Linked DNA regions of Nothobranchius furzeri. The protein of the gene in region 2 interacts with the protein of the main gene of each other region in a pairwise test. Links are inferred from orthologs where the notes say so. Each region holds a gene or a part of one and is shown on either strand. Other genes may lie near its edges. The genes, in order: CAP-Gly domain-containing linker protein 4, kifc3, KAT8 regulatory NSL complex subunit 1, atf2, stx11a, leng1 and zgpat.

Region 1 (3,500 bases), on a different chromosome or scaffold from region 2:
AACTTATGTGGTTTTGTCCTTCTCTACTGAGACGTTTGTGTTTATTAGATTTCCTACAAAGAAAGACAACAGATGATCTGGTTTATCCTTCAGAGTGAAATCGTGTTTTATCCTGTTCAGCAGATAAAGAAACCAGAACCTACAGATAAAAGACATCCCCTCTGTCCTGTTTTTAGAGTCAACCAATCACAGAGAAGTCCTTTTTGTGACTTAGGGGGCCTCCCGCCAGCAGGAAATTCCTGAAAACCCTCAGCTGGCTCTTCTCGTCGTGAGGGAGCAGCGGCTCTACTCAAGTCTCTCGGATCTCCGAGCTCCGCACCCCGTCTCTGACCTCGACCACCCGACGGAGGAAACTTATCAGCCGCTTGTATTCATGATGTGGATCGTTCAGTCAAGCCCAAAGCTCTCAACCAGATGTGAAATTAGGAACTAAGATTTCCCAGTAAACTGAGATCTTTGCTTTCGGGCTTAGCTCCCTTTCTTCACCACATCAGACCGGCGTCTCCCTGATCCGCCTGTTGATTTCACTCCCTCCTTCCCCCGTGAACAAGACCCTGAGGTGCTTTACCTCCTCCACGTCACTGACCCCGAGTTGGCTATCCTCCCTTTTCCGGTCGAGAATCGTGGCACGGAAATATGACGTGCTAATCCTCATCCCATCCACTCCATGGTTGGGTGTGAACTTCTCTTAAGTTGAAAGTCACAGTTTGACGGCGCTAAGATGACATCATCCACAAAAAGCAAAGACGAGGTCCTACTGCCACTAAACAAACTGACCTCATCTGACCAGGGTGTTAAAAATACAGCCGAGAAGATGTATGCATAAAGAAACAAGCAGAGCTCCAAGTACTGATCCCTGTGGTACCCCGCAAGAGACCTAAGCTCAGGAGGATCTGAACAACTGAAACTATATAAGTCTAAGATAACCCAGACCACATGATCCTCTAAATCTGTGACCAGGAGGATGTCAAGAACAAACCTGCGCACTAATCTGGATTAGAATAACTTCATCCGTGCATCATTTTATCCAAACATCTTCCCTGACACATTTTATTGGCAGCCTGCTGTGTACATATTGATCTTCCATTATTTTCATTGAAAGCAGAAGTTTTAGCATCTGGCTCATTACAAAGTGTCACATTAAGCGGAGGAGACGTGCTGAGGGAACGCCCCAAAGCGTCCCGTCTCATAACTCCGGTTATCAGCAGACAGACATGTCAGTCGTCACAGAAACCCAGCCGTAAGAATTCACTTCAATGTTTCTTCTAAAAGAGTCAACCCTCACCTTTGAACTCTCGACGGGGGGGCAAAGACGCCATGTTTGGGAGGGCAGCTGAAGTATCTCACACCTCCAACAGACCCGTCGTTTTTACCACTCGGCTTGTCCAGTTCAACTCCCAACCAGACTCCTGCACAAACAAGTTCAGCAGCTTCAGACTCAGTAGCTCCAAGGCTCCTCCAGGAGGCTGACGACTCCAGGAGCTCCAAGAGTCCTTCAAAGGGCTTCAAGAGTCCTCCCGTAGCTCTAAAACTTTTTCAAGAGGTCCAAGAGTCCTCCAGGATCTCTAAATGTCCTTAGAGAGGCTCCAAGAGTCATCCAGGAGGTCAAAGAGTCCTTCAAGGGGCTCCAAGACTCCTCCAAGAGGTTGAAGAGTCCTTCAAGGGGCTCCAAGAGTCCTTCAATGGGATTCAAGAGTCCTCCAGGAGGTCTAAAACTCCCCCAGAAGCTACAAGAGTCCTTCAAGGGGCTCCAAGGCTCCTCTAAGGGGCTCCAAGACTCCTCCAGGAGCTCCAAGAGTCCTTCAAGGGGCTCCAAGAGTCCTCCAGGAGGTCGAAGAGTCCTTCAAGAGGCTCCAAGACTCCTCCAGGAGCTCCAAGAGTCCTCCAGGAGCTCAAAGAGTCCTTAAAGGGGCCCCAAGACTCCTCCAGGGCCTCAAGAAGTCCTCCAGGAGCTCAAAGACTCCTTCAAGGGGGTCCAAGAGTCTCCTAGAGGGCTTCAGGACTCCTCCTGGAGCTCCAAAGCTTTTCCAGGAGGTCCAAGACTTCTCCAGGATCTCCAAGAGTCCTTAAAGGGAATCCAAGAGTCCTTCAAGGGGCTCCAAGACTCCTCCAGGAGGTCTAAAACTCCCCCAGCTCAAAGAGTCCTTCATGGGGCTCCAAGACTCCTCTAAGGGGCTCCAAGAGTTCTCCAGGAGCTCCAAGACTCTTCAAGGGGGTACACGACTCCCCTAGAGGGCTTCAAGACTCCTCCCAGAGCTCCAAAACTTTTTCAGGAGGTCTAAGACTTCCCCAAGGAGCTCCAAGAGTCCTTCAAGAGGCTACAAGTCTCTATACTTTTAATTTGGATGTGATAAAACAAAATGAACCACCTCTGCTAGATTATAATTTGTGATTTAAACAGGTCAGATTTAGTATATGTGGGGGAAAAAAGAAAAAACATCTGTTTAACTATTTAGTAACATCCATTTGTTTCTGTCAAATGATAAAAGTCCTAAGGGAGTTTTTTTTTTCTTCGGTTTTAGCCGAGTGAGTCTAGGAGTATTTTGTCCAGCTGTGATTCACTGATAACAAATAAACCTTCACATTTTATTTCATCTGCAGAATCATAAACTGTAGAACTGACCAGGAGCAAAGTTGGTGTTCCCACAGAACTGAACCACTCCGGTTCTCTCTCCCGCCACCAGCACTCTCTCCCCCAGCCGGACCTCAGAACCGTCAAACACCGAGCTGCTCCCCGACGGGGTTCTACTCCTGAAACCTGCGAGGAGAGAGGAATCAGAGACTTTATCTAGATCATCGACGTGACGAATCAGAGCTGGACTCAGCAGCACCTGCAGCCGTGGGGCGAGACGAGGAGCGCAGCACCGGTGACGGGGTTGTCCTGGGATTAGGAGAAATATTCTCCCTGCGCTGCCTGGTGGAGAGACGCTGCCTCGGTAGAGGGCGGGGTCGGGCGCCCCGGCCATGCTGAGAGTCCAGTGAAGACGACGAAGAGGACAGGGAGCGGGAGAGGACACCTGTGGACGTAGAGGCTCAGACTGAATTCCTACAGAGACACCTGAAAGTGAACAAAACTCAACAGCTACTAGCATCAGCCAGAGGTCCGACACATTAAGCCCTCCCCTCCAACAGAATGGGAGAAAAGATGGAGAAAGACGACGAATTCCCTCTTAAGCCATCAGGTGCAGGACCTCATTAAGCCTTTACCTTCCACAGACCTTCACAGGCCTTTAGCAGCAACGCTCTGAGGCTAATCGATCAGGTCTGCACCAAAGTGCTTCAACAGGAAGAGATTCAGTTACAAACTAAAGTGAGGCGTTGAGGGGGAGAAGCTCACAAATCACGTCTAAACAGCATCTAGAACATAGACCTAAGCAGGAAAGAAGCTGCAGTTATGAGTTTGCTCTGACTGGTCTTAGCACGGTTTCAAAGTCAACCGGAGACTCGTTTCTGTGGCTCGTGACCGATCGGTATAGTGCGGCTCGCCAGGCTGCTGCAGG
Region 2 (3,500 bases):
ACACCTTTAGTCAGTCCGTCCACTTGCTGTAGTCACATGACCAAACACATGACATCACAGCCAGCAGGGGGTTCTGGTCAAAATCAGCTGATCAGTTTGATCTTGCAGCTTGTTTCAGGTTCAACTTTTCACACAAAACGCTGAACTAAAAGCAGGTGAGAAGGTTCAGTCTGCTGATTGGTCAGGAGTCTGGAGGCAGGAGCAGGCCTGCTCATGAGGAGGAGGGACAAACAGGTCTGTCCCGGGCCTAGGATAGGTTGGGGGGGGGGGGGGGGATCTAATGTCTCAGCCCAGGGATTCCCAGATAAAACTATGAAGAACACAGATCCTTAAAGCACAGTCACCAGAACTCTGGCTAGGACCAGCCCGGAGCTGAAATCAGCAGCCCAGTGGACGTTTTGAGAACATTAATCAGAACCACAGCTGAACCAGACCGCAGACTCAGTTGTTCCGCCAGATCCTTCAGTCCAGGTTTAACTAACATCTGCAGCGCCCTCGGCTACAGGAAGCCATTAGGCTCAAACCTGCAGCGTACAGCTGGTATTTACCCTAACCAAACAGGAAGTGAATCCACCTGCAGCTCATGTTCATCTTTAACCTCCTAATTTCTGCCAACACGAGCACTGTTACCATAGTAACCAATAAATACATTTGCAGCTCGTGTGTTTTAAGACCAAGAGCTAAAATAAAAACAACCATCCCATAATCCTCAGCAGGTGGTGGGAAGGGTAGGGGGAACAACATGAGCTCTAAACAACCTCCAGGTGTTTCAGCGCTCATAAGGGCCAGAACCTGAGGTCGTCTGGACCCAAGGGTTCAGTGGGCCCTGCCACAGGCCTACAGGCACACAAACACGAGGGGAGGTGGCGGGCGGGGCATGCCATGCTGAGCGTTCATGCCAAACGGTCCAATCAGCACACAGACCCTCACCTACCTGCCCACCGTCCCCCAACAACGGGCTGCTTCCGTCAACCTGTCTGTCTGAAAAGCAACCAATCAGAGCACAGAATGAGGAGGACACAGAGGAAGATGGACAGACTGACAGCGGGACTCCATCAGCTGGACAGCTTCGTCTCCCAGAATGCACTGCTGCTGCTGAGGAACAAAGCGTAAACCTTTATGTCTGTGTGTGTGTGTGTAGGGGAATGTGTGTGTGTGTGTGTGTGTGTGTGTACCTGTGGACAGCTGGGACTGGGACCTCCTGCGGGAGCTGCTGGGAGTTCTGGAGGTGGAAGACAGTGTGGACCCAGCACTGCTGGCCCTAGAAATGGGGAGGGGGACCGGCGTCACAGGGGGAGAGTCCAGCTGGTGAGAGGTCAGAGGTCAAATAGCACAAGTGATCTGACGGGGAATCAAATATCCAAAGTTTATTTTTATATGAATGTAAATGTTGTTAATGGCTGTAGCCCTCAGTTAAATGAAAACACGATGGCTAATCCAGACTCACAGATTAGAGAAGAGCAGCAGGAACCTGTTCCCTAACCCTGCTCTGGTTCTTGGGATGAAAATACACATCTGCAGTTTCAGTCAACGGGAACCCTTTAGAGCAATAATGAACATGGTCTTTGTCTCGTTGGAAAAGGGTGAATGGCCAGCTTCAGGTCGGACAAGAGACTCTACCACAAGTGGAGGAGCTTAAGTATCTCTGGGTCTTGTTCACGACTGAGTAAACGGGAATTGGACAGGCTGAACTCGTCTGTAGGTGTGAAGAGGAGCCGAGCCAAACAGCCAGGCTCTTAACTTACCGTATTTTCCGGACTATAAGTCACACTTTTTCCATAGTCTGGCTGGTCCTGCGACTTATACTATACATCAGTGTATACCGCGCTGCTCCGGTCCGGCTCCGGTCCAGGTTTCAGCTCCCCTGCCCCGCTGGGAGGGTTTGAAACACCGCCATCCTCTGCTGGAGACCGTGGCGCGCTGCTGCGCCCTGATTGTTTATTCTGTTATTGTTACCGGTACCTGTCTTGCGATGTGAAACGCTTGGTCTCAGATTTCGTAAGAAAAATAATAAAATTTCCCCCCAAAATGCGACATATATGTTTTTTTTTCTTCCTCATTATACATTTTATGGCTGGTGCGACTTATACTCCGGAAAATACGGTACTGGACGACCTTTATCCCAACCTTCACCCAAGGCCATGAATTTGGGTAACGGCAGGACAAAATCGCATAAACATGCAGCTAAAAAATCTCTATTTAATCCTTTTCTTAAAATTGTTCAGCACTATTTTGGACTGAATCTTCTACGACAAGGTCTTATCAACAGGCATCAAAATGTAGATGGAGAGCAAGCTTGGCCACCTCCTAGACCTGGGTTAGTGTCCAGCCCAGGAGCCTCACGTATGGCTCCATTACAGCAGATTTATTAAAACCGTCGTGCATCTGACTGTAATATAAGACTTCACACTGTTTAGTCTACTTTTATTTTGAAGATACCAAAAAAATGTGAACGTCTCAGCCCTGACCAGCTGGGCGGAGCTTAGAGTTACCTCCACACTGTTGTGAGTGGGTGAGGAAGAGGTGGACGAGTTCTCGTGCCGCCTAGAGGAAGAGTTTAGCTCGACGCTGCGAACACGCTGAGCAAACTTCAGCGAGCACACCGACTCACTCATGTTGCCAGGCAACGGAGAAACCTGCAGGAATGGCAGGCATGAGACAGCAGGAAGGAACAAAGACTAGTTTCTGGACTTCACCAGGTCTCACCTGGACCATCATCAGAGTTTTGCTGTCACCGCTCAGAGAGTCCTGCAGCAGGTAGGTGAGGCGGGAGTTCCTGAAGGGAACGTGGGAGTATTTTCCTCGTAGCGCGCTGATGACATCACCGAGAGCAGAAAGCGACTTGTTGATGCACTGAGCCTCTCTGAGCCGACTGCCCTCTGCTCCAGACTTCCCGATCCGCTCAGAGCCTGCCAGATCCACCAGGTTAAGCTTTCCTAGACCAGAACACAGGAAATCAGGTCTCACATCCAAACCTTTTAATTCAAGTTCATCTCACAAGGCTTTAGAAATGAAAGGACGCACTGATGGATGTGAGGCTGCCAAACACTGGCGCCACCGGTCCCTCTGACCACCACCAGGTGGTGCTTAAAGACACGACTGTGACAGACAGAGTGGGGCTCAACCCAGCAACCCTCCAGTTCCAAGATGGGCACTAGACTCCTCTGTCACCACCGTGAGTGAATACTGTGAGATTCCAGCCATGTTTGCTTTCACAACTTTAAGAACTCTGTGCTGTGTAACACACAAATCCCGACACGTTCTCCCAGTCAAAAAAAAAAAAAAAAAAAAGGTTGAGAAGTGTTTCATGTTTGATGGTCATGTTGCACATCATGTTGTACAAACACACACAACAGGTAAAAGTTTGTGCATTTTGAAACAGATTGGCCTTCGTAGAAATTGATCCACCAGTTCCCCGCCAAAGGAGGAGATACATCTGACAGTTGTCAGCATATAGATGGAATTTCACACCATGCTGATGTAGGAGAATCCCCAAAGGT
Region 3 (4,089 bases), on a different chromosome or scaffold from region 2:
ATGGTGATATTCTAATGAGTGGATTAATCAGGATTATAAGCACTTCACTTGAGTCTCCTTCCCTCAGGAGACGGGACAAGACGGATCCAGGTCTCTGATGTGACCCTAAACAGGATCCAGATCAACCACCACCACAGCTGCAGTCTGACCACATGAAGGAGAGCTACAGCACATGGTACCAATCATTAAACATCAAACCTGCAGCTCAATTAACCTCTCAGACTGGTACTATTTATGGAAAATATAAGCTAGAACACATTGTTTACTCACACGATACCTGGAATAAATACATGGAACTAAAGCTTTTGTTCAAGTGTTTATCTTGTTTTTAAAAAAACGGCAGTTCATCACTTCCTGTGTTGAAGGTTCGTCTAAGGAAGGAGATGATTCAGTTGCCTGTCAACATGTCTTCTTAAAATGTGAGAAAATAAATCGCATGGGAAAGGTCTGAGTAGGAACAAGCGCTATCGTCTGATGGTAGAAGTGATGCTAGTTACATCACAGGGAAAAAGCTACAAATGTGTGCTAGGACGTCTCAGGTATTCAGACAGCTGAAATGACTTAATGACGTTTAACTCCACCCATCCAGCTTTGTGTCTGCTTCCAGAGTGTTCCATGTGTTACTCCTGATGGAACCCAAGGTGTTCCCCAAACTTCCTGTGGTTTAGTTTTCCATCTGAGCTGCCTTAAATCTCTCCAAACGGATATCAGTTTAATAGCTTGAATCAATGAGACAACGGTGTACTGGGTTCTGGAGGCCCAGAGAGGTTATTTTGGCCACATCTTCTCCACAATGTCCGCAGGAATTCAGGGACGGCAACTGGAGAAGACGATCCTTGACCTCAGGTAAAAATAAGAGGGCTAAAACATTAATGCACTCAAGGAATACCTTTAGCTCCATTGATGAAATGCTCCACTTGGTAGTCCAATACGCCATGAATCCAGATACAACACAAAAATCCTAAAAAAAATAAATAAATAAAAAAGTTAGTAAAACAGATAATCAAAAACATCTTATTTCATAATAATTAATAATAGTAATAAATAATAAAGGTAAAGACAAGCCTTCACAGCGGTCACAATCTACTGTCTCCAGGAAATATTCCAAACTAAGCTTCTTGATGACAAATTAAACCGAGTTAAAAATGCTTTGGCACAACTCAAAGGCCCTGAAATAAACCACCAGGCTGTACCGACCACAGCAGACACCTTCATTAGTTTTATAGCAAATAGTTAAGGATGTTGTCTGGCGTGTTACACCTAACTAAACCAACAGTTCTGAGTTCACTGGCCCCAGGTTGGGAACAACTGACTTGTTGTATTTGTTCCTCAAGAGAGGAATTATTTCACCAACATAAAAGGAAAGTTATAAACTACATGTTTAGGACTATCATTTTTAAATCAGTCATTCAGTGATTCATTCATTTAAACCATTTCATTATTATTATTATTATATGTGTAATTTAAAATAGGAAAAAAAGCCTTTGATTCAACATGATCAAAAATAGAGAAGCTGCATAAATACCTAAGTTGGTGAAGGCAGAACATACACAGTTTAATATTTTTTATCCTGGTTTTGACCGAATTTCCACGATTTCCAACCTGACCACTAGATGTCAGCACCTGCTCCAGTGCTCAATCAAGACTCACATCAATTCTGCTACTGTAAAAGTAGAATTTGTAATTAAAACGCGTTCTTAAACACGTAAATAATAATGATGAACGCCAGATGCAGCAAATGTGTTAGGAAATGACAGAGAAATAACTTCCACAACAACCAGTGGAGCTCTGATTACTGTGTCAGTTTTGTATCTGAATCTGAGCTGTTTTTGCAGTTGAAACTGAATCTGAACATGTTTTTAGTCGTTTTCGGCTCCCTGTTTCAGTCTGAACCTAAAACTGTTGTTGTTCGTTTGCTTTACTTGTTTCTCTCAGACCCAGTCTGAATGTGTTCGTTACAGCGCCCCCTGTGGGATCACGGTGTAACACCAGCGTTGGTTGCTTTCATAGACAGTGGTGGTAAATCAATTTTTTATAACTTACATCAACTAAAAAAATTTACAATTAAATTAGTGCAACAGTACAGTTTACTCTATGTCTTGTATTGTGGTTATTTATTTAATGTTATGGTCCAATAAATTTTTGGTTTAGTTTATTTTTTAATGTTTCATTAAACTGAACGAAATGATGCACGGTGATTAATTTTAAACATTTCATTTATGAATAATTATTCACGTGGCCAACTAATGGTTAAAGTTGTGACTTTACATCAGAAGCTTCCAGCACAGGTAACTTTTAAACTGTTGTTGAGTATTCCGATATTTTCAGCTGACGAGCTAAAGCTAGCGAGCTAACCACATTAACGTTACAAATTTATGAAAACTAAAAGTTTTACATGCTGACCAACACCAACACAGAGGGTGGAAATATGATGGTAATATGTCAAGAAATGTATCTTTAAAGAGTAGAGAGTAACGGAACGAATTACCTGTGATTTTTGATGATACATTTAAGCTCAGTCAAAAAGACTATGAAAAGCTAACGTTACAGATGCTAATACGCGTTAGCTTGTTTGCTTCCCGATGTACCAGAATTCTCAATGACTGCAATTTAATTTATACGTTTAACATAAAATTCAACAGTAAAAAATAATCAAACTTAAATAAAACAACCGCGCGTTTAACTAGAAGAGAGTTTTTCCTGACAAGCAAACTGTTCGTTGTTTTTAAAAAAATAACGAGTATCTTACTTACCTGCTTGTCCTGTTACAAACCACCAATAAGCCCCGCCTTCTGCGCTGCGATTGGTTGACGGTTTATTTTCAGACTTTCTATTGGTTCCGGCAGCTGTCAGTCTTAGCAAATGCCCGTACAGCGGAAATGTATATGAAAGTTCATATCACGAAACTTAATTGTCTAAAATTGTTTTAATTTAAGAATTACAGCCCGAGTCTCACAACTCCCGTGTCTTTACCGGCCGACTGCTTTTCATTTGCCCTGGTCACTGTGTTGTTCCATCGCAGACATGCTAGCTGCTCCCAGCCCAGCTGATGTTTTCACTCAGAACTACACTCTTCGTTGTGTTGCTGTTTTAGAGACTTGGCTCAGAATTGGGCTCAAGGCTTCATATCAGATAAACAGAGACCACGCTTTTCGCAACTCACGAGTTTAATCAACACGTTTCGTTTCATCCAGTTCATCGCATCTTAGCCCATCGTCCTGCTGGGCTGAGATTCGGCCGGTCTGGGAGCTGTCCCCCTAAAGCAGGCCACGAGACACAAATGGCACCAGTTGTTCACTGGAGGACAGTTTTGGCTAAATGTTGTCCTGCACACGTTAAACCAAGAGCCAGAGGATGGACAGGAACTCATCAGACCTGCAGTGGTACTTCTGGGGAAGACCAGAACTAACTTAGTTATGAAGTCTGCTGGCTTGTTTACAAAATTACAATGAATGGAACACGAACTTAAGTCAAAACAACAAACATTGATGATGATAATGATGATGATTATTACCGTATTAATATTATTATTATTGGTTTATGACACAGTACCTGAAGGTCTAAAAACTGAGGGAGGAACAGTTCTGAAACTTAATGAATCTCACCTGCAGGTGAAGGATACCTGGAGGTAAAAAAAACATTGACATTGGAAGGAATATTGTAGCTGATCTCCAAAGGAACTTTCATTATTCTGGATTTGGTTTCAACAGACCTGTAACAATTTCTTTCTAAAGGTGGAAACTACTGGTTTTGGTCTAAGTCCTGGAGCTGTGGAACAAGTGGTACAAATGCCAAAATCCTTGTGGAAACTGGGTTACTGAACACAGAAATAAATAAACTTCTTTCATGATTTTATTTAAACATGCATAAAACCATTTTAAACAGCAGTCTCAGCTGCTCACACTAGCGTAGTTCAAGATCAAACAAAAATAACAAATTGATAACAAACACTGCAATGCTTCTGAAGAAGTTTCTTGTGACCTGGAGGAAACGATCTTCTCTAGAGTCAGTGATGAGACCTCCATAGTTTCTCATGACAAAAACTCAAGATAGGACAAAATCACCTTCCTTCTCATCAGCGTCTACATC
Region 4 (4,163 bases), on a different chromosome or scaffold from region 2:
CACTGTAGCTCATATAAAGGCTAGCAATTAGATTTTTCAATTTGCCGACCATTAGGGTTCAGCGATGGGATGAATTATTCGACCATCGGCGACGGGCTGAGCTGTTATGGTTGTTTTTATAAGAAGCAATTTGTTCATTTATTTGTTTGACCAAGCGTAAGTTTGTTAATGACAGATATTTTACACGTTACGCACAGAGAACATCGCGGAGATAAAAAAAAGAAAAGATCTCCATCAACAAAACATCTGAGCATTATCTTTCACCTTCTCCGCCTCTCGCTGCTGACAGTGTCCGCAAGCGGCACGCTGAAGAGGAGCTGGGAGAGCGTCTGTGACGCACTCGACATTGTGCGCAAGAGCGCACTGTCAAGTGGAAGCCCTTCTATCTTTCATAGTCAGGTAGACTTCTGGTTATTTTATTTGGAGAAATGTTTCCTCATTTTAAAACTGTGGCTTAAGTAGTGCTCGTTATTCAGCACCCGCTTCAAGTGTGTCAGCATAGTGAGGATTAATCCAGAACAACATTTAAACAGCCACGAGTCTGAGGCAAACGTCCAGAACCTCATAACCTCTTCAGCAAGCATCATGCAGATATTGGATTACGCACAAGCTGCAGGTGACCAGTTCAGGTTTACGTGGAGCAGAAGGAATGTGCGTTTGGGGCTGCAGCAAGTGAAATGTTCCTAATTTAAGTGAAATTATTTATTTGTATTATATGTTACTGGGGCACTCAGATCAGCTTGTTTGGATTACATTTTAATTAAGAATGAATGGAAATTGAATGATTATTATTTAAAAAATGAAATTTGTCTGCATACACTCCATTCTGCAATCACACATGGGTAAAAATAAAAGGTTATAGGTGATGATGTTACACATGACTATTACCAGAGTTATTTTACTATATATTCTATTCACACTATTGTTTGGGTTATGAGGGTATGTTTTCCATGTAAACAAACTGATGTTCACATTTCACTTTAACATTTCTTTAGTAAAAGAAATAGCTTCTGGAGATACACACAACCACACACACCTGCTCTCAAAATTCACCCTCTGATGAACGACAAAAAGCTATAAGTTTAATATAAACCTAACAACATGGCTGCATGTTCAAATGATCATACATATACTGCTGTGATGGCTATTTCAGTGCCCACGATCATTTTAACAATTTTGTCAGATTTTGAGGATATAAGAATGGAAGTTTTTTTTTTTTGACAAGTGTTTTGGTAAAGCTTTTATGCATTGAGTCATGAATCAATTAGATAAAACTCTTACATCAAACTTAAGTCATATTTTGCGAAATAACCTTGAACAATGATGCTTCAAAGAGTCTTTTATCAGTTTAATTTCAAAGAAGTTCTCAAAATCGGATTGCTTACCTGTCCACACCCAGGAGCAGTGCATTGGAAGGGTTTGTCATCACTCATATTAAGGAGTTCCTGTAACTTCTCCCTAAAATAATACAAAAAACACTTTTAACCTGAACATCTGCATTATATATATATATATATATTTTTTTTTAATGAACTGATGATCTATGAAGATGCAGAGCAACTCTTCCTATAATAAATATTTCTACTCCGATTCAGAGATGATAATATGTAAACACATGCTGGTTTAGTTATGATAAAAGTTAAAACTCCAGCTGGGGTCAGGTGAACGTTTTGGACAAAGACCATCGATAAGGGGCGGTTTCTGTAGTTGTTTACACCTCGGTGCTCTTATAAAAAACGTTTAGATACACTGCTCCAGACAAAGCACGGAGATATGTTTTAAGAGAACCGCATGTCTATTTTTACATATATCACAAAACAACTAAAGAATATATTTACAGCTAAAAGGATGAGCTACAATCCAGTCGCTTCCATGAATTAGCCTGAGCCTTGCGTTAACATAACCGTCGCCATATTTGAACACGCACGTAACGCTGTAAACAAAAGAGCTGTCAACTACTATTTCGGCTCCTGTTTTGTTACACCAAACAGAAACAGCTCACATTGCCACAAATTAGGTATATTTACCAAAGATTCGTACACAGTCGCTAGCGGTTTGAGTTGACACCTACCCCTTAGCCACAACCCTTGATTTCCAAAATCCCACGTTTTTTTCCCCAAGTATCGCGATAACAGATATTCGTTAAATGCCACATCCACAAACGATTGGGGATAATTCATTGGAGTCAAAAAAAGTATGAGAAAATAAATTACGGACCAATGTTATAAACTATTCTAACATAACGTAACTCAATTGTTTTTAGAGGAAAACAAAAACTAATATAGTCTTAAAGCGCTTAGCACACATAATTTGCATATTCAAGCAGACTGCCTTCTTCACACAAATGTAAACTTTAAAAAAATCAAATGCTAGGAGTGATGTATAAGCTCTTACAATTTAGATGTATTTAATGTTACAGAAACGCTTCAATTTGTTTGTAGCAATGATTGCTAGGCAATCCACCCACTTGAGATCCCTTGTGATTCTGTACCAGGCAGTCATCAACTTACCAGCTGCAGACAGATCTGTTTGAAGAATAAAGGCAGACATTCTTTAAAGTGATTCTTTTGAAGTCAGTGTTTAAATTGCACCTGTCTAAAGGTCAATTTAAAATATTCATGTGCCACTCATCTTTAACCCAACATAATTCTATTCTGTCAAAAAAATGAAAGGAAGCCTTTAAGTTTTGCATACAATGATAAAATTTAAAAGATCTGACAGCCAAAGCTTTCATTTAAAGTATTGGCCAATTACTTAATTCTTCCTGTGGGGAAAAAAAACAAACATTTAACACAAGTAAATCATTTGGATTTATTCAGTGCCATTACCATGCCGTTAGATCTCACTTGCTGCACAATTACACACCTATTTAACTGCAGCTTAATGACAAAATAATTCACGTGGACCCCAAAAAGCTCAGAAAACAAGGCTGATTCACTGAAAAGATGACATTCATGAAAGTCAACCCCTTCCTGTTGTGTTGGGTGATGTTTTGGACACAAGCTTCTGCAATCTTGAATAGTCAAAAACATGTATTTTATTCACGTAAGATGTTACATTTGTACAATACATGTTTTGCTGTTTTTGACAGTGTCTGAGAGACTTGAAAAATGTACATTTCTATGACACCAACAAGGAACAATTTTGGTAGCCACAATAAAATATGTAGTCACATCTGTAATTAAAGTGTTGTGGGGCAGTTTTACATAGCAAACAGGATAAGGAAAGCAACCATCAAACAGAAGAGTCCCATAGCTTCAGACAGGGCAAATCCCAGGATGGCATAGGAGAAGAGCTGCTGCTTCAGTGATGGGTTCCTGAGAACAAGAAATTGTTGGTGAATCCAAACAGAAATTGTAAAATTGTTTTAACAATAAATATTTGAAATAATTCAAACAAACCTGGCATAACCAATGATGAGACTACCGAACACAGTCCCAATTCCAGCACCGGACCCAGCGACTCCAACCGTGGCAGCTCCAGCACCAATGAACTTGGCAGCAGTGTCAATGTCCCTGCTGATGGCGCTGGTCTGGAAGCCTCTCAGTGTGACCTGAGTGAGGGGACTTGGTGGCATCACAGAAACAGAGCTCTGCAGCAAAAAAAAAAAAAAAAAAAAAAAAAAAAAGAAGAATAAAAACTTTAACATCACAAGAACCAAATGTGACAATTAGAAACTAAATCTTTGAATACATAAGAGCTAGTCCTCAGACAAAGTTATTACAAGTTACTAAGGCTTTCTAGTTAAAACCCTGTCCATTAGGGCTTCAGACACAGTGCCGATAAAATATAAACTTCAATTGCAATGCTGTGGTTTCAAAAAAAATAATGAGGGTGTGGAAAACATGCTTTCATACCTCTGTTTTAGCTTCAGGCCTGGACAGCACAGAAGCTGACAGGGGTCTGTAAAGAGCCCGGGAACCAGCACGGACCTGCATTAACAATGGACACAAGATTAAACACTTAGCATTGCTTGGATCAAGCTTCACATAGAAGGGTGTGTATTTTAAGTGCCACTCAAGAACACTTTAAGCACACACCGACATAGAAAACTGTGTAAATTAGTCAGAAATTGCACAATATTGATAGATGGGCCGCATGCTGATTGCAGGGTCTCATACTCTTATGTCTGCCACTGGTTAACATGACCTTGGAAGCAGTCA
Region 5 (4,089 bases), on a different chromosome or scaffold from region 2:
AGGGATTTGTTTTTTTTTCTTTTCTTTTTTTTCTTCAAAACTTTATTGAACAAGGTGATAAGTATACAAACAAATTGCATACAAAATTGAACAAAGAAGATGAAACATATGCCAGGGGGTGCACTACAGAAATGTTACACACATCCAAATAAATTACAGGTGGTGCAAATAGTTATAGTTTTTAAAGCTTTTTTGTTTAGTGATCCACTAATCAATTTTATGCAAGATAGAGTGTCACTATAATAGTGCTTGAAATTAGGTTTTTGGTTACTATACTTGCATTTGTGGAGATAGAATTTAGCTAGATTAACAAATTTATAACAAAGTATACATCTTCCTTTCTCTGCTTGCGAAAAAAATACAGCATTTTCCCATTTTAAAACGAAGTCCTTGCAGAGCTGTCCGATAATAAATCTGCTAAAGTCTTTCCAAAACGTTGTAGCATGTGAACAGATCCAGAAGAGGTGGGATTTGTTGTTTTATTTGGTTGTGGAGAGTAAAGATTTTCTGTCCTCTGCTGGAAACAAGTGGGTACTGCAGCGTTCAATACAGCGTTTAGTCCAATTTACAGGAAAGCCAGAGCGTCTTCACTTATATAAACTACTAAAACGCAATAAATCAATTTTAGTTATCTGTGTTCAACTCGATTAAATCAAGGAGCTGCAGCAGGAGCTAAAAGCAGCTAGCCACAGCACAGCAAATAGAGCAGATCTACCGCCCTCTGGCGGCCACAGGGCGAAACTACACGGCAGAAGGGTTTGTTTTTTGGCAATGTAAAACAGTTACGAAATTTTACCAAACTAATCAAACATGTCAGATATAAAAATATTGGTTATGAGTTCAACAGAACAATAAGCACCCAATTGCATCTAATAAACACTCAAACATTGATACATAGATTTTTTAAGGTCCTTTTTTTGTTTCAAACAGGAAAAGCATTACGTCTTTGGATTTCACAATGAATGTATGAAATACTCAAATAAATAAAATAAAAACAAATACTAATAAAAAACGCATGCTAAAAAGCTACTGAAAATCTGAGTAAATCACAACAGCTGATTTAATTTGATGAATTTGTTTATTCAGAAAAATGATATATGCAATCAATTATAATTACGTAACGTCATTTTAACATTTCTAAATCACCCTTATTCACAATACATTTTAAGTAAAAGCTTTGAGTTCAGGAAGAACTTCCATTCGGACCCCTTTGATGGAAGTTCTTCCTGAACTCAAAGCAGGGTTTGATCTTCCGCGTAGTTGGTCTCGCGGCGTCAGGAGGCTGGTGACACTCACACCTCTTTACTCAGACTGTGGTTGATGTTGGTGAAATGTCTAAATGTAACCGAGACACAAAGAGGAAACGGGTCTTTCTTTTCTTCTGTTTCTAAGGAGAGTTCTCTTTAGGAGGGCACCGCCATAAGGTACGTTTACTTCTCTGGTTTTATCGCCTCAAGTAACCTGGCGTAGTTTACAAGACTCCTCTTAGTTTCTTCGTTTACCTCCTCCCATCAGATCACTAGATGCTTATTCGTTTCTGTTTTGTTCATAAATACTTGAAATAGTTTGAAGTAGCTACACAATGTGAGTAGCATGTGGAGGACAGATGAGACTAACTAGCAGCTGAAAGCGTCACAATCTGAGGAAGTAACAGAGCAGTTTCCTTTTGTAGACATTACCGCCTGAAATTATTTCTAAACCATCAGTTTATTTATTTATTTAATTATTCATTCATAACCAGAGAAGCGTCCACACCTATTTTATCTTATCGCAACTCAATCAAAACTAATTAAAGTGAGAGCAGTAGCAGCTTTATGACGAGATAAGTATAATAAGAGTTGAATGGTTTTTAATTAGGTGTGTTTATATGGTTGATCATCATTTCTGTAACCAGGAAGAATTTGGTCGAGTCCAAAATGCATAAAGATAAAAATGAGACATTTTTGAATGATTGCCCCACTTTTATTGTTTCCAAAAATAAAATGGTCCATATTACGTCACAGCCAGTGAGTAACAGCAGCAAAAAGCTGATTCTAAATGTGTCATAGCAGCTTATAAGAGTTTAATTAGGATCTGTGTTTTCTAGGAGGGCTCTGGTCCAGCTTGTTGTCCGAAGGCCACCTCTGGTTTAATGCACCAAATAAGACTAAATGTTACCACATTTCTCGGATCACTTTGAAGATCTTACATAATTTCGAGGAAGCTTAAAAGCCCGTCTCGTGTTGATAATCATGGCCACATGATGATCAGCACTGTTCCTCTTTTCTGCAGCGTTATTATTTCCTGACAACCTGAGGAACCTCCTAAGATGCTGCTTAAAAGAGTGTTGTGTCAGATATCTGGAGTCAGTCTGAAAGCAGATCTTGTTTTTATTGTACTCTATTACTCTCCTCGTCTCTTAAGTTACTCAGAAGACAAAACTGCAAACTGGGCCTCAAAGATCTTTGTCTTTTGGAGATATGTCCAGCTTCCGCTCATCTCAGAGCGACGGAACATTTCATATATTTTAGAAAATAACAGATCGAACTGACTCTTGCTGCAGGTGAAATGAAGGACCGACTATCTGAGCTGAAAACCGTCACCCCGGAGCCTGCTGAGGAGGAGCTTAACACAGTCTTTGAGGATGAGGAGGTCGCAGAGTCACTGGCCATCGTGTTTCAAGGTGAAGATGTGATGGACGGCATCTACAAAGATGCCCAGATGATGAGGAAGGAGCTGCAGCTGCTGAAAATTGACGTGAAGCGTCTGGCGAAGCAGAACACGCGGTTCCTCACGTCCGTCAGGAGGTTTAGCAGCATCAAGCGGGACTCTAACGCGCTCGGCCGGGACATCAAAGCCAGGGGGGAGGCCATCTACGCCCAGCTGGAGAAGCTTGGAAAGCTGAGCAAAAAGCTTGGAGAGGAACACGGCTTCACGTCGGCTCTGTCTCGTATGGTGCGCTCACAGTACACTTCTCTGACTCGGGCCTTCCACGAGGCCATGTCTGAGTACAACGAGGCCGAAATGATCCAGAGGGAAAACTGTAAGACCCGCATTCAGAGGCAGGCGGAGATCATGGGCAAGGAGGTGACCAGGGAGCAGCTGGACGAGATGATCGAGAGCGGGAAGTGGAACGTCTTCTCGGATAATCTCCTTTTGGAGGGGAGGACTACCAGATCTGCTCTGAGCGAGATAGAGAGCAGACACAAGGAGCTGCTGGAGCTGGAGGGTCGCATCAGAGACATCCACGAGCTCTTCTCCCAGATGGCTCAGCTGGTGGAGGAGCAGGGCTGCATGCTGGACAACATAGAAGCAAACGTCTGCTCTACTCAGGACTACGTTGCCAAGGCAACGGTTCAAATCACACAGGCTAAAGAATACAGTGAAAACAACCCATGCAAGAAACTCTTCTGCTGCTGCTTCCCGTGCTGTAAATGATTCTTGGTCAGATTTAAACTGGAACTCTTTATAATTTTCCTTTTACGGGGTCAGCGTCAGACATCTCACTTCATTTTCACGTACTGTGCTGGTCTGAGAAGGAGGAAGAGTCATTTCAAACCGCGCTGTTCACATACAAATGCATTCAGTTGTAATCGAGTTGTTGCATTTCCTGATCGTAACTGATTATTACTTTCTGCAGCACCCACATGACTCCACGTCTCATCAAAGATATGTCATTGCAGCTTTTTATGTCGGGTAATGCATGTTTCATTCAGTAAAACTTGATTTATTTCTAAATTACTGCTTTGGAATGAAACGGCGACCATTAAAATGGGAGAAAAAAAAACAAAAGCTGGAGCTGACGTTGCTGCAGCTGTTGGCCAACAAGTGTGTAGAAACACAAATATTAGTGGTTAGCTGGGAGATAAGCTGCGTTCGTGTTGAACAACAAGCCTCGTTTTGCTCCAGCTTTATGCCGGAGCTTTTGTTGCTTCATATGAGATTAGCTCCAGCGTCTGGAGTCTGATTGGTGTCATGTTACATCCACACAAGCTTTTCTCTCAGGCGTGTACCTGAATCAGTGTCAGTACAAACACTCAGAGCCAGAGCAGGGGACTTCCTGTTGGTACCAGAGTTCTTTGGTAATCTGGATTTTTTCTCAGATTAGGG
Region 6 (4,217 bases), on a different chromosome or scaffold from region 2:
CTGCAAGAAGGTGAAGAATTTAACATAAAACTTGTTTTTTTCCCTCTCACATACATTATAATTATTTGTATTAGTGATGATATTGTGTTTGCGTGTCCACAGATCACACTCTTCCACAACTGTCGGCCAGCGCTGAAGACGTTTCGGTCCACCACCTCCACCTTCTTTTTCCTGGTGGTGCTTCTGTTTGGCTGGACGTTGGCCCTGGTTGTTATGATTTACAGCCTTGCTGTGTGAGTGCTGACTGCTGCAGATTTATCCTTAATATTTCCAACAAAACAGCGTTTTAGAAAGTCAGAACAGTCAGGGCATCACTAAACACTTTAAGAAGGATTCTTTCCACCTCTCCAAACAGGATCAACCCTTCGATGGCGTGTGGGCCTTTCCGCTTCTTCCCCTCCATGTGGAAGATTGTTCCAAACTCTTTCTACTGTCTCTCTAAAGTTACACAGGATTTTCTCTTCTTCATTGGCTCACAGGCATTTTCCATACCTCTTTTTGCTTTATCATGGTGAGTGTGCATTTGTGAAATATTTATTATTTATTAGATTTAATCTACAGATTATCACAGTGCCTTTTTTCCTCTCTGCCAGCGTGATTATGTGCTATTTTGTAGCATTAGCTTCCATCTATGGAAAAAGTGTTGAGATGCTCAAAGCTCAGCTTAAGTTGGTATGTTGTTCCTACTTACAAAGATCAAGGATCATTTGTATAATATCCTCAGTGGTAGCTAATATTGTCCAATGTCATGTCTTTGATTTTCAGGAGGGTCAAGATAAGCAGTTTTTGGTCAAACAGATTGAAAGACTAAAGCTGCAACATCTGATGCCAGCACTAAGAGCAGAAGTACAAGACTGAACACAACCGATGACCACGTTTAGTTTTTCTGACCTAAATAATGAAGTAACTAATATGTCTTCTGGGGGGGAGAAATCTCATTAATCCAGACTAGATCTCATTTGACAATTACTATATTCATTTACAGCGTTTCTGTTGTGAAGCTGAAACAATAAGAGAATTTGTTATTTAAAGTCAGTATAATTTTGATTGTTGTTCTAAACATTAGTGTTGAATTAATAAACATGCACAGAATTTATTTATGATTTTGAGAGGCTATTTTTCTTTTGTATAAAACAACCTCGGGTGCAGAATCACCAAAAATGCTAACAAGAAAGAGCATGCATTTCACAAAATGCTACATTCCAAAGCCAACATATACTTTACCTTTTTGTCCTTTCATAATGAGTACATTGTTTTTGACATCTTTTGGTTATAGCAAAAAATATATATATTTGGGACATACCGGTAAATATTTTTGTGGCACCTGTACAAATACCAGTAGAGTTTCAGCGCCCCCTGGTGTTACATATTGTAATTACATAACACGATTATTGTTTACTTCCTGTTTAACTCTACTACTTCCTGTGAGCGCAACAAACCAGAAGCTACTCCTCCGTTAGCTCGTCATTGATAGCATTTATTATATTTTAGGAAAGTAGTCAACTTAAATAGATAATGTGAGTGAGTAAGGTCCACGTTATTTTCTTCTGCGTCATCACAAAACATTGGCAAGTACTAGCGACCTTCCCTATTTAGCTTAATTTCCTAAAAAGAAAGAAAACAGCGACGCATATTTGATTGTTGGGCGTATTTGAAAAATTCTGCTTCTGTATTTAGACATTTTGTCGAATAACCTGCTTATTTCTACTATACACCAATATATTAACTGACCAGAGTGAGTGTTTTCTCTTGTCGTTAGCTTTCTAAGCTAGCTGACTGCTAATTGTCGGTCACCAAGGCAACCATGAACATCCTCCCGAAGAAGAGTTGGCACGTCCGCAACAAGGACAACATTGCGCGCGTGCGGAGGGATGAAGCCCAGGCAGCAGAAGAGGAGCGCGAGGCCAAGCGTCGCGTGGAGCGAGCAGAGCAAGAGGTAGTCCCCCTCTGGTGTTAGCATGGTCATTCATTAGTCTTCACTCTCTCTCTTTCTTAACATTTTTTTTGAATCACAATTGTCTATTTTTGCTCATTTTAAATATATTTTTAAACATTTTCTAAATGCTTTTTTATTTTTTTACATTTTTGTTTTTGTGAAGTGCCTCGTGATTTTTATCTTTAGAGGCACTATAGAAATTATATTTTCTTCTTCTTCTTAATAAGCGATATAAGTATCATTACTACTGTGGAAAATGTATTTGAGTGCAACACAACTGTAACGCATAGAAAAACCACAAATCAGCCGAATGTACAGGGTACCTGGCACTTTAATTGAAATATTTAAGAAATTAGTTCTGGAAAAATGATCAAAAGTAAACAAAAGAGTTTCACAGATTTTAATCCTGACCATTTAAAACTAAATAAATACAGAAATAAATGTCTTTTGGGGAGAAAGACAAAAGAACCAGTCACACGAAGGTCAGGTGGATGTTTGGAGTTTGGAAAAGTGTAGAAATGTTAAGGTTATAGATGTTAAACAATCTGAATGCCACATGTAGATTAAAACCGCAGCAATGATTTCAGTAATAAGAAAAACTGAAAACATTCTGAGCTTCGTCACGTTCTCTCTCCTCGTTGATTCTATCTAAACCGCTGCGTGCACATATGAGGCAAGAGCACTTTATCATGAGTAACTTTATTACAATAAAGAGCCACAACAATAGTACCACTGTCAAATGTCCCAGACGATACACATAATTCAAAGTTGTATAATTTAGCAAATAATCTGCTTTACACAGTGCTATTTAGGATTTAGTTGCTTTCAGCTTGTTGCAAAAGCTCAGTTAGGTCCTATGTCTTCAGCTGCATTTGCTTACAATCCAAAATAACTATTTATTATTTATATCTTTAGTTTATTCTAACAGCTTTTTGTTTCTACAGGCGCGTACAGAGTATCTGAGAAGGAAATCTCGAGCTGCTCTTCAGTCAGAAGGAGGAAGCAGAGATGATGATGATGAAAAGGAAGGTGGAGGAGGCTTGGAGCACCTCAACCTCTTCCCTTTGGAGGAGTCTTCAGAGAAGAAGGGGAACGAGGAGTATCTTAAAGAAAAGAAAGAGGAAAAGGTGACAGAAAAACCTTAATACATGTGTGGATTATTTATTTTTTGGGGTTTTATATTTGCTTCAGTAACACCTTTTCCAGGGTATCCGCGGGTCCTTAAAAAGTCTTAAATTAGCTTTTCCAAATTTAAGGCCTTAAAAATCCTTAAAAATGACAAATAATCCTTAAATACAGTTTCCAGAGGTCTTAAATTACCAAAGACCCAATAAACAAGATTCTTTTATTTCTATAAAATTTTCATGAATTTCTAGTTAGCGTTCAGCATTTTTGTGTACGATGTTGCCGTAAGCGGAACCGTACACGTTCAGTTGGTTGTGAAAGGGGGCTATTTTTAGATGAGCACGTTAGCTGGTTAAGCTAGTGGGAGCTTGCGCCATGGGGAAGGGCAAGTTTAATGGTAACTGGATGGCTAATCCCATGATCGCGGCGTGGTTAGCACCGGTTCCAGGCAATAGCTGGAAATTATAGCTTAAATGATAAATGACCCGCACTTGTATAGCGCCTGTCAGAGGAAGGACTCCAAAGCGCTTTACACCACAGTGTATCATTGATCCATTCACACACACATTCACACACTGGTGGTGATGAGCTACGATGTAGAGGCGAGGCTGCCGAGCACAGGCGCCACCGGTCCCTCCGACCACCACCAGCAGGCAAGGTGGGTTAAGAGTCTTGCCCAAGGACACAACAGCAGAATTCTCTGTCCGGAGCCAGGATCGAACCTGCAACCTTCCGATTACTGGACAACCCGCTCAACCTGTTGAGCTACCGCTGCCTTGCTTAAATAGCTTAAATTTGGTCAAAGTGGCCTTAAAAAAGGTCTTAAAAAGTCTTAAATTTGTCTCCCTTAAACCTGCAGATACCCTGTTTTCAAAAACCCCTTTGTTTAAATATAATCTGCATCTTCTCATCCAGGAGAAGCAGGAACGCGCCATCGGCCTACTGGTGTCTTTAGGACCCCAGCCAGGCTCTGAGGTGACTCCGTGGTACCTGAAGAGCAGCAAAGACAAAGAAAGTCAAGAGAAAGACAAAAAGAAGGGAATAAGTGAAGAGGAGAAAGAGAAGAAGGATCGGAGGCTGAAGAGTAGTTTGGATCCCCTGAACGAAATGAAGAAAGCTCTAGACGTGTTTGAACGAAAAGTACCTAAAAACAGGA
Region 7 (4,102 bases), on a different chromosome or scaffold from region 2:
CCACTGTCAAGTTCTAAGATGAGAGAAAACGGAAATAATAATTTCAAATGTATAATTATTGTGATCAAACTACATTTAGATGACATTTAACAAATTAAAACAAAATGTGATTGAGAGACCTTTTATTTTGGCGGGGTACCAGATACCATCCTCGTGCCGAGCCAAGCAGGACGAACCCTCTTCGAGGTTACCAAGGTCGCACTCCAAGAAGTCTCTGAGCTCCGACACAAACACCACTTCACCGTGAGAAAACCTGCAAAAGTGAGACGAGTTTCTGTAAGAAAACCATTCAGTTATTTATCACAACTTTCCTCTGACTGATAATAAAATCCCATTCGGAGCGATTCGGTTTTATCCGGGTAAAACAAAAGAATAACAACAAATGTAAAGGTGCAGAAGATTTTTTTTCTAAATAAAAGATGCTAAAATGATGAGAAGATTTTAAAAAATACACACATTGAACATTATTTTCTAAACTTGTGTGTGAATGTCCTTTACATTAATGTGACAAAACACAAATAATAAAAAAGCAACAGATGTTTGGTTTCTGCTTCCGGCTCTCGGAGGGTGCAGACGCTTTTCTTCTCCTCTCCTCCGTATCTTATCCTCAAAGCCTTTGTCTGTCCGCGTGTGCTGGGTGCACGGCTGCTTCTGCATTATTTTCTGGAAACTGAAATTCACTAAAATGGATCTCGTCAGCTGGTCTCTCAACGCGGTTGATACAATTTTTTCAACGACGAGAACGGGAGAAGGGACTCCCGGATGCCCCTCCGGGACAGACCAGCTGTCTGTGGAGGACTCTGAAGACGTGTGGATATTCGTGGTGTTGGTGTCAGGTTTCCTGCTCATTGGCCTTGGAGGCTACTTGGCTTACCGGAAAATTAACGAGCTGTCGAGGAATATTGGCCTGATCCCGGAGCTCAGAGATGGTTTGCACCGCAGTGAATTCAGACTCAAATAATTGTCGAGATGAATCGTAAGCTTGGGACTTTGGCGGAGATTCATTCTTTGGCACAAAAGATGGATGCCATCAAGGAGAGAGTGGACGAATCAGCACGGATTGGGATAGATTAACGTCCATTATTGGGATTCTGAGAGGTTGAGGACCAACAAATTGTAAGACAGAGAGGAAATTATCTCTGTCTGGCCCCAAAACAATTTCTAATCGGAATCTGGTGTCCTTGAGCCTGCAAGGCTCCACGAAAACTCCCCCCCCCCCCTCAGAAGATATGTGGAATGTGCCGTCGCTATGGCAACTCTACTCTGTCTCCTATCCCAGCCTGGGCGGGACAGCGGGAAGGCCGCTGAAACGTTCCAGGGTCACTGCAACCCTCCAACCCTCCAACCCTCAATGCTTCCCCCCCACCCCCCCCCCCCCCCCATCCACACTGAGGTGACATGCGCTGCTTATCGTGGCTGCAGGAAATGAAGTGGAGATAGTCCCAACCCACCACCCCACCTAGTGGACACTTATGTTGTGTTGTCTGAAGTCTGTTGCATATATGTTTGAGGGCAGCTCTGAAGTGCCTTTTTTTTCCTCCACCTGAACCAATCCTCATGTAACCCTCTTATCTCTGTTAACTCAGGGTTGCGAATGACCACAGTCACCAATTCTTGTCATGTCTCTTGCCCGTGTATGTCTGATCTCTGAATTGTGTGTACTGAAACTCTAATTTCCCTCTGGGATTAATAAAGCATCTTTGATTTGATTTTACCTGCAGTTATCCAGAAAGCGACATTTGTCTTCCAGGTAGAACGGACAGGGCTTCATAGATTTTTGGGTGGGGTAGATGTAGAGCACCCTGACTTGTGCCTCCTCTCCATCAGCAGCCGGTTCTGCCCCCACCACCATGGCATTGTGATACTCCAGCGTCCCCCATGTTGTCCTGTAAGGCGCCCTTACTTTGGTACCACTAAGATCATCTTCCTCCTCATCTTCCTCCTCATAATACACGCTCCCACTGTCCTTATCCTTCTCTCTGGTATCAGAGCTGCTGCCAGAACTTTCTCCTAGTTCAGAGTAAAACGCAGCAAATTCAGCATCAAAGACACCGGAATCAGCCGCTGCCTCTGAGGTGTTCATCTGAGGTCCGTTGCTGTCTTCTAGGCTGGACAGTAGCCGGCTTTTCTGTACAGATAAAAGGCTGGCTTCTGTTAGCGCTATCAGCTGGCAGAGGTCTTCTTTGAGCTTGAGCAGGTCTGGCTGCTGGCTGGGGTCCAGGCCAGCTGACAGGGCCATCTCCACCTGCTGCAGCTGGGCCCCATAGGCAGCGATGGCAGCCTCCAGGCTTTCTTCATCCATGCTGACAGCTTGGCACGAGCTGGGACAGCATCAACCGCCTCCAACAAGAGATGAAGAAGATGAACAAAAGGTGCAGAGGAACTACAGTGTCATTACATGTTTATACATTAATAGTACAAACAGATCAAAGACTACACTTCCAGATATTTGATGGATTACACAGAAAGAACAAGAATTTCAGACGTTTTCTCTGTGTGAAGCATATATTTATATTTAAATGAATGAGGCTCTTCATAGTAACCTCCCCATCCATCCTGCTAGCATGGGTTGTTTTAGCTGCTAGCCGTGTTTCCATAAACTCTGGTGAATATAAAGGTCGTGTCATTACCTCAGTGATTACTCGAGCTCTCTGACATCCACTGCAGCAATAAACGAGGTCACGTCTGCGGAAATCCTTGTTTTATTCATGTCAAAAAAGAAGCAAGTTGACACAAAACACAGCAGAATGACGTCAAAGCGGCAAACGCGAACAACAAGAGCACTTCCGGTAAAAATGTTTTCCTTTCAAAATAAAGTAGAAACAACTGTGGTCAGTCAGCAAGGTTAAAATAGTTTCTACATTCATCAGAGGTGTCAAAAACAATCACATTCGTTACTAATGAAGAATAGATAATAGGGTTTAACAAGAATTACGTTTTATCTAAAGCATCTTTCAAGGAACTCAAGGTCACTTTACAACAAAAATAATAGAAATCAAGTTAAAAACAAGCTAAACAAATCACTCATTAAATCCCCAGAAATTACAGAGCCAAAAGTCAGAAAGCAAAACAATAAAACTAACTCATAAATAGTATGCTGTCTTGGAGAGTTTAGATTTGAAAATGGAGAGGGGGTCAGAAATGCAGAAGTCTCACTTCAAGCATTTTACTCAAGTAAAAGCACTGGTTGCAAAACAGCTTAAAGTATAAAGTGAACACGTAATGTAAGTTAAAAAAAATGCCATTAAGGACAACAAAGACGCGCACATTACCACACCTTTTATAAAACAGGCCATTACTGACCATAATGATGGTATTTAATATAAAATGTCAAAAATTGACAAATTTGAGATACACTGGGCCTGTTTCAGCTGCATATATCCATCCATCCATCCATCTATTTTCATCCGCTTATCCAGAGTTGGGTCGCAGGGGCAGTAGCCTAAGGCAAGAGGCCCAGACTTCCCTCTCCCCAGCCACTTGGGCCAGCTCCTCCGAGGGGAATCCCAAGGTGTTCCCTGGCCAGGTGAGAGCCATAGTCCCTCCACCGTGTCCTGGGTCTACCTTTAGGTCTCCTCCCGGTTGGACGTGCCCGGAAAACCTCACCAGGGAGATGTCCAGGAGGCATCCTGACCAGATGACTGAGCCACCTCAACTGGCTCCTCTCAATGTGGAAGAGCAGCGGCTCTACTCCGAGCTCCTCCCGAATGACTGATCTTCTCACCCTATCTCTAAGGGAGAGCCCAGCCACTTTTCTGAGAAAACTCATTTCGGCCGCTTGGATCCGCGATCTCGTTTTATCGGTCACTACCCAAAGCTCACGACCATAGTTGAGGGTAGGAACGTAGATTGACCGGTAAATCGAGAGCTTTGCTTTCTGACTCGGCTCTCTCTTCACCACGACAGACCGGTACAACGCCCGCATCACTGCAGATGCAGCACCAATCCGCCTATCGATCTCACGCTCCAGTTTTCCCTCACTCATGAACAAGACCCCGAGATACTTCCACTTGGGGCAGGACCTCGTCCCTGACCCGGAGAAGGCATTCTACCCTTTTCCGAATCAAGACCATGGTCTCAGATTTAGAGGAGCTGATTCTCA

What was found.
Region 1: the proteins of kifc3 (region 2) and CAP-Gly domain-containing linker protein 4 interact in binary tests that used the Homo sapiens proteins (3 or more experiments, as listed by UniProt). The two-hybrid records come from large-scale screens. The link is inferred for Nothobranchius furzeri from reciprocal best matches to the Homo sapiens genes KIFC3 and CLIP4.
Region 3: the proteins of kifc3 (region 2) and KAT8 regulatory NSL complex subunit 1 interact in binary tests that used the Homo sapiens proteins (3 or more experiments, as listed by UniProt). The two-hybrid records come from large-scale screens. The link is inferred for Nothobranchius furzeri from reciprocal best matches to the Homo sapiens genes KIFC3 and KANSL1.
Region 4: the proteins of kifc3 (region 2) and atf2 interact in binary tests that used the Homo sapiens proteins (3 or more experiments, as listed by UniProt). The two-hybrid records come from large-scale screens. The link is inferred for Nothobranchius furzeri from reciprocal best matches to the Homo sapiens genes KIFC3 and ATF2.
Region 5: the proteins of kifc3 (region 2) and stx11a interact in binary tests that used the Homo sapiens proteins (3 or more experiments, as listed by UniProt). The link is inferred for Nothobranchius furzeri from reciprocal best matches to the Homo sapiens genes KIFC3 and STX11.
Region 6: the proteins of kifc3 (region 2) and leng1 interact in binary tests that used the Homo sapiens proteins (3 or more experiments, as listed by UniProt). The two-hybrid records come from large-scale screens. The link is inferred for Nothobranchius furzeri from reciprocal best matches to the Homo sapiens genes KIFC3 and LENG1.
Region 7: the proteins of kifc3 (region 2) and zgpat interact in binary tests that used the Homo sapiens proteins (3 or more experiments, as listed by UniProt). The two-hybrid records come from large-scale screens. The link is inferred for Nothobranchius furzeri from reciprocal best matches to the Homo sapiens genes KIFC3 and ZGPAT.

The regions. Positions count from the first base shown.
Region 1 is NC_091758.1:40,981,747-40,985,246, reverse strand, and holds part of CAP-Gly domain-containing linker protein 4, read right to left. Parts: intron 3,018-3,500; coding exon 2,832-3,017; intron 2,759-2,831; coding exon 2,624-2,758; intron 1,410-2,623; coding exon 1,286-1,409; intron 1-1,285.
Region 2 is NC_091749.1:65,948,340-65,951,839, reverse strand, and holds part of kifc3 (kinesin-like protein KIFC3), read right to left. Parts: intron 2,937-3,500; coding exon 2,707-2,936; intron 2,637-2,706; coding exon 2,493-2,636; intron 1,306-2,492; coding exon 1,176-1,305; intron 1,096-1,175; coding exon 935-1,095; intron 1-934. UniProt on the Homo sapiens protein: Minus-end microtubule-dependent motor protein. Involved in apically targeted transport. Required for zonula adherens maintenance.
Region 3 is NC_091756.1:53,988,067-53,992,155, forward strand, and holds the start of KAT8 regulatory NSL complex subunit 1, read right to left. Parts: upstream 2,801-4,089; 5' UTR 2,754-2,800; intron 962-2,753; 5' UTR 890-961; intron 1-889. UniProt on the Homo sapiens protein: Non-catalytic component of the NSL histone acetyltransferase complex, a multiprotein complex that mediates histone H4 acetylation at 'Lys-5'- and 'Lys-8' (H4K5ac and H4K8ac) at transcription start sites and promotes transcription initiation.
Region 4 is NC_091754.1:21,239,882-21,244,044, forward strand, and holds the start of atf2 (cyclic AMP-dependent transcription factor ATF-2), read right to left. Parts: upstream 2,801-4,163; 5' UTR 2,181-2,800; coding exon 2,041-2,180; exon of another isoform or gene 2,028-2,040; intron 2,007-2,027; exon of another isoform or gene 1,839-2,006; intron 1,459-1,838; coding exon 1,386-1,458; intron 1-1,385. Other genes in the region: atp5mc3a (ATP synthase membrane subunit c locus 3a), read right to left, coding at 3,203-3,317, 3,402-3,592, 3,858-3,932. UniProt on the Homo sapiens protein: Transcriptional activator which regulates the transcription of various genes, including those involved in anti-apoptosis, cell growth, and DNA damage response.
Region 5 is NC_091758.1:20,330,248-20,334,336, forward strand, and holds stx11a (syntaxin-11a), read left to right. Parts: upstream 1-1,289; 5' UTR 1,290-1,424; intron 1,425-2,542; 5' UTR 2,543-2,547; coding exon 2,548-3,417; 3' UTR 3,418-3,794; downstream 3,795-4,089. UniProt on the Homo sapiens protein: SNARE that acts to regulate protein transport between late endosomes and the trans-Golgi network.
Region 6 is NC_091745.1:76,666,511-76,670,727, reverse strand, and holds the start of leng1 (leukocyte receptor cluster member 1), read left to right. Parts: upstream 1-1,417; 5' UTR 1,418-1,568; intron 1,569-1,759; 5' UTR 1,760-1,804; coding exon 1,805-1,936; intron 1,937-2,880; coding exon 2,881-3,063; intron 3,064-3,976; coding exon 3,977-4,217. Other genes in the region: voltage-gated chloride channel TMC4, read left to right, coding at 1-10, 103-233, 356-511, 594-672, 766-858.
Region 7 is NC_091755.1:51,598,479-51,602,580, forward strand, and holds the start of zgpat (zinc finger CCCH-type with G patch domain-containing protein), read right to left. Parts: upstream 2,801-4,102; 5' UTR 2,631-2,800; intron 2,341-2,630; 5' UTR 2,303-2,340; coding exon 1,716-2,302; intron 254-1,715; coding exon 120-253; intron 14-119; coding exon 1-13. UniProt on the Homo sapiens protein: Transcription repressor that specifically binds the 5'-GGAG[GA]A[GA]A-3' consensus sequence. Represses transcription by recruiting the chromatin multiprotein complex NuRD to target promoters.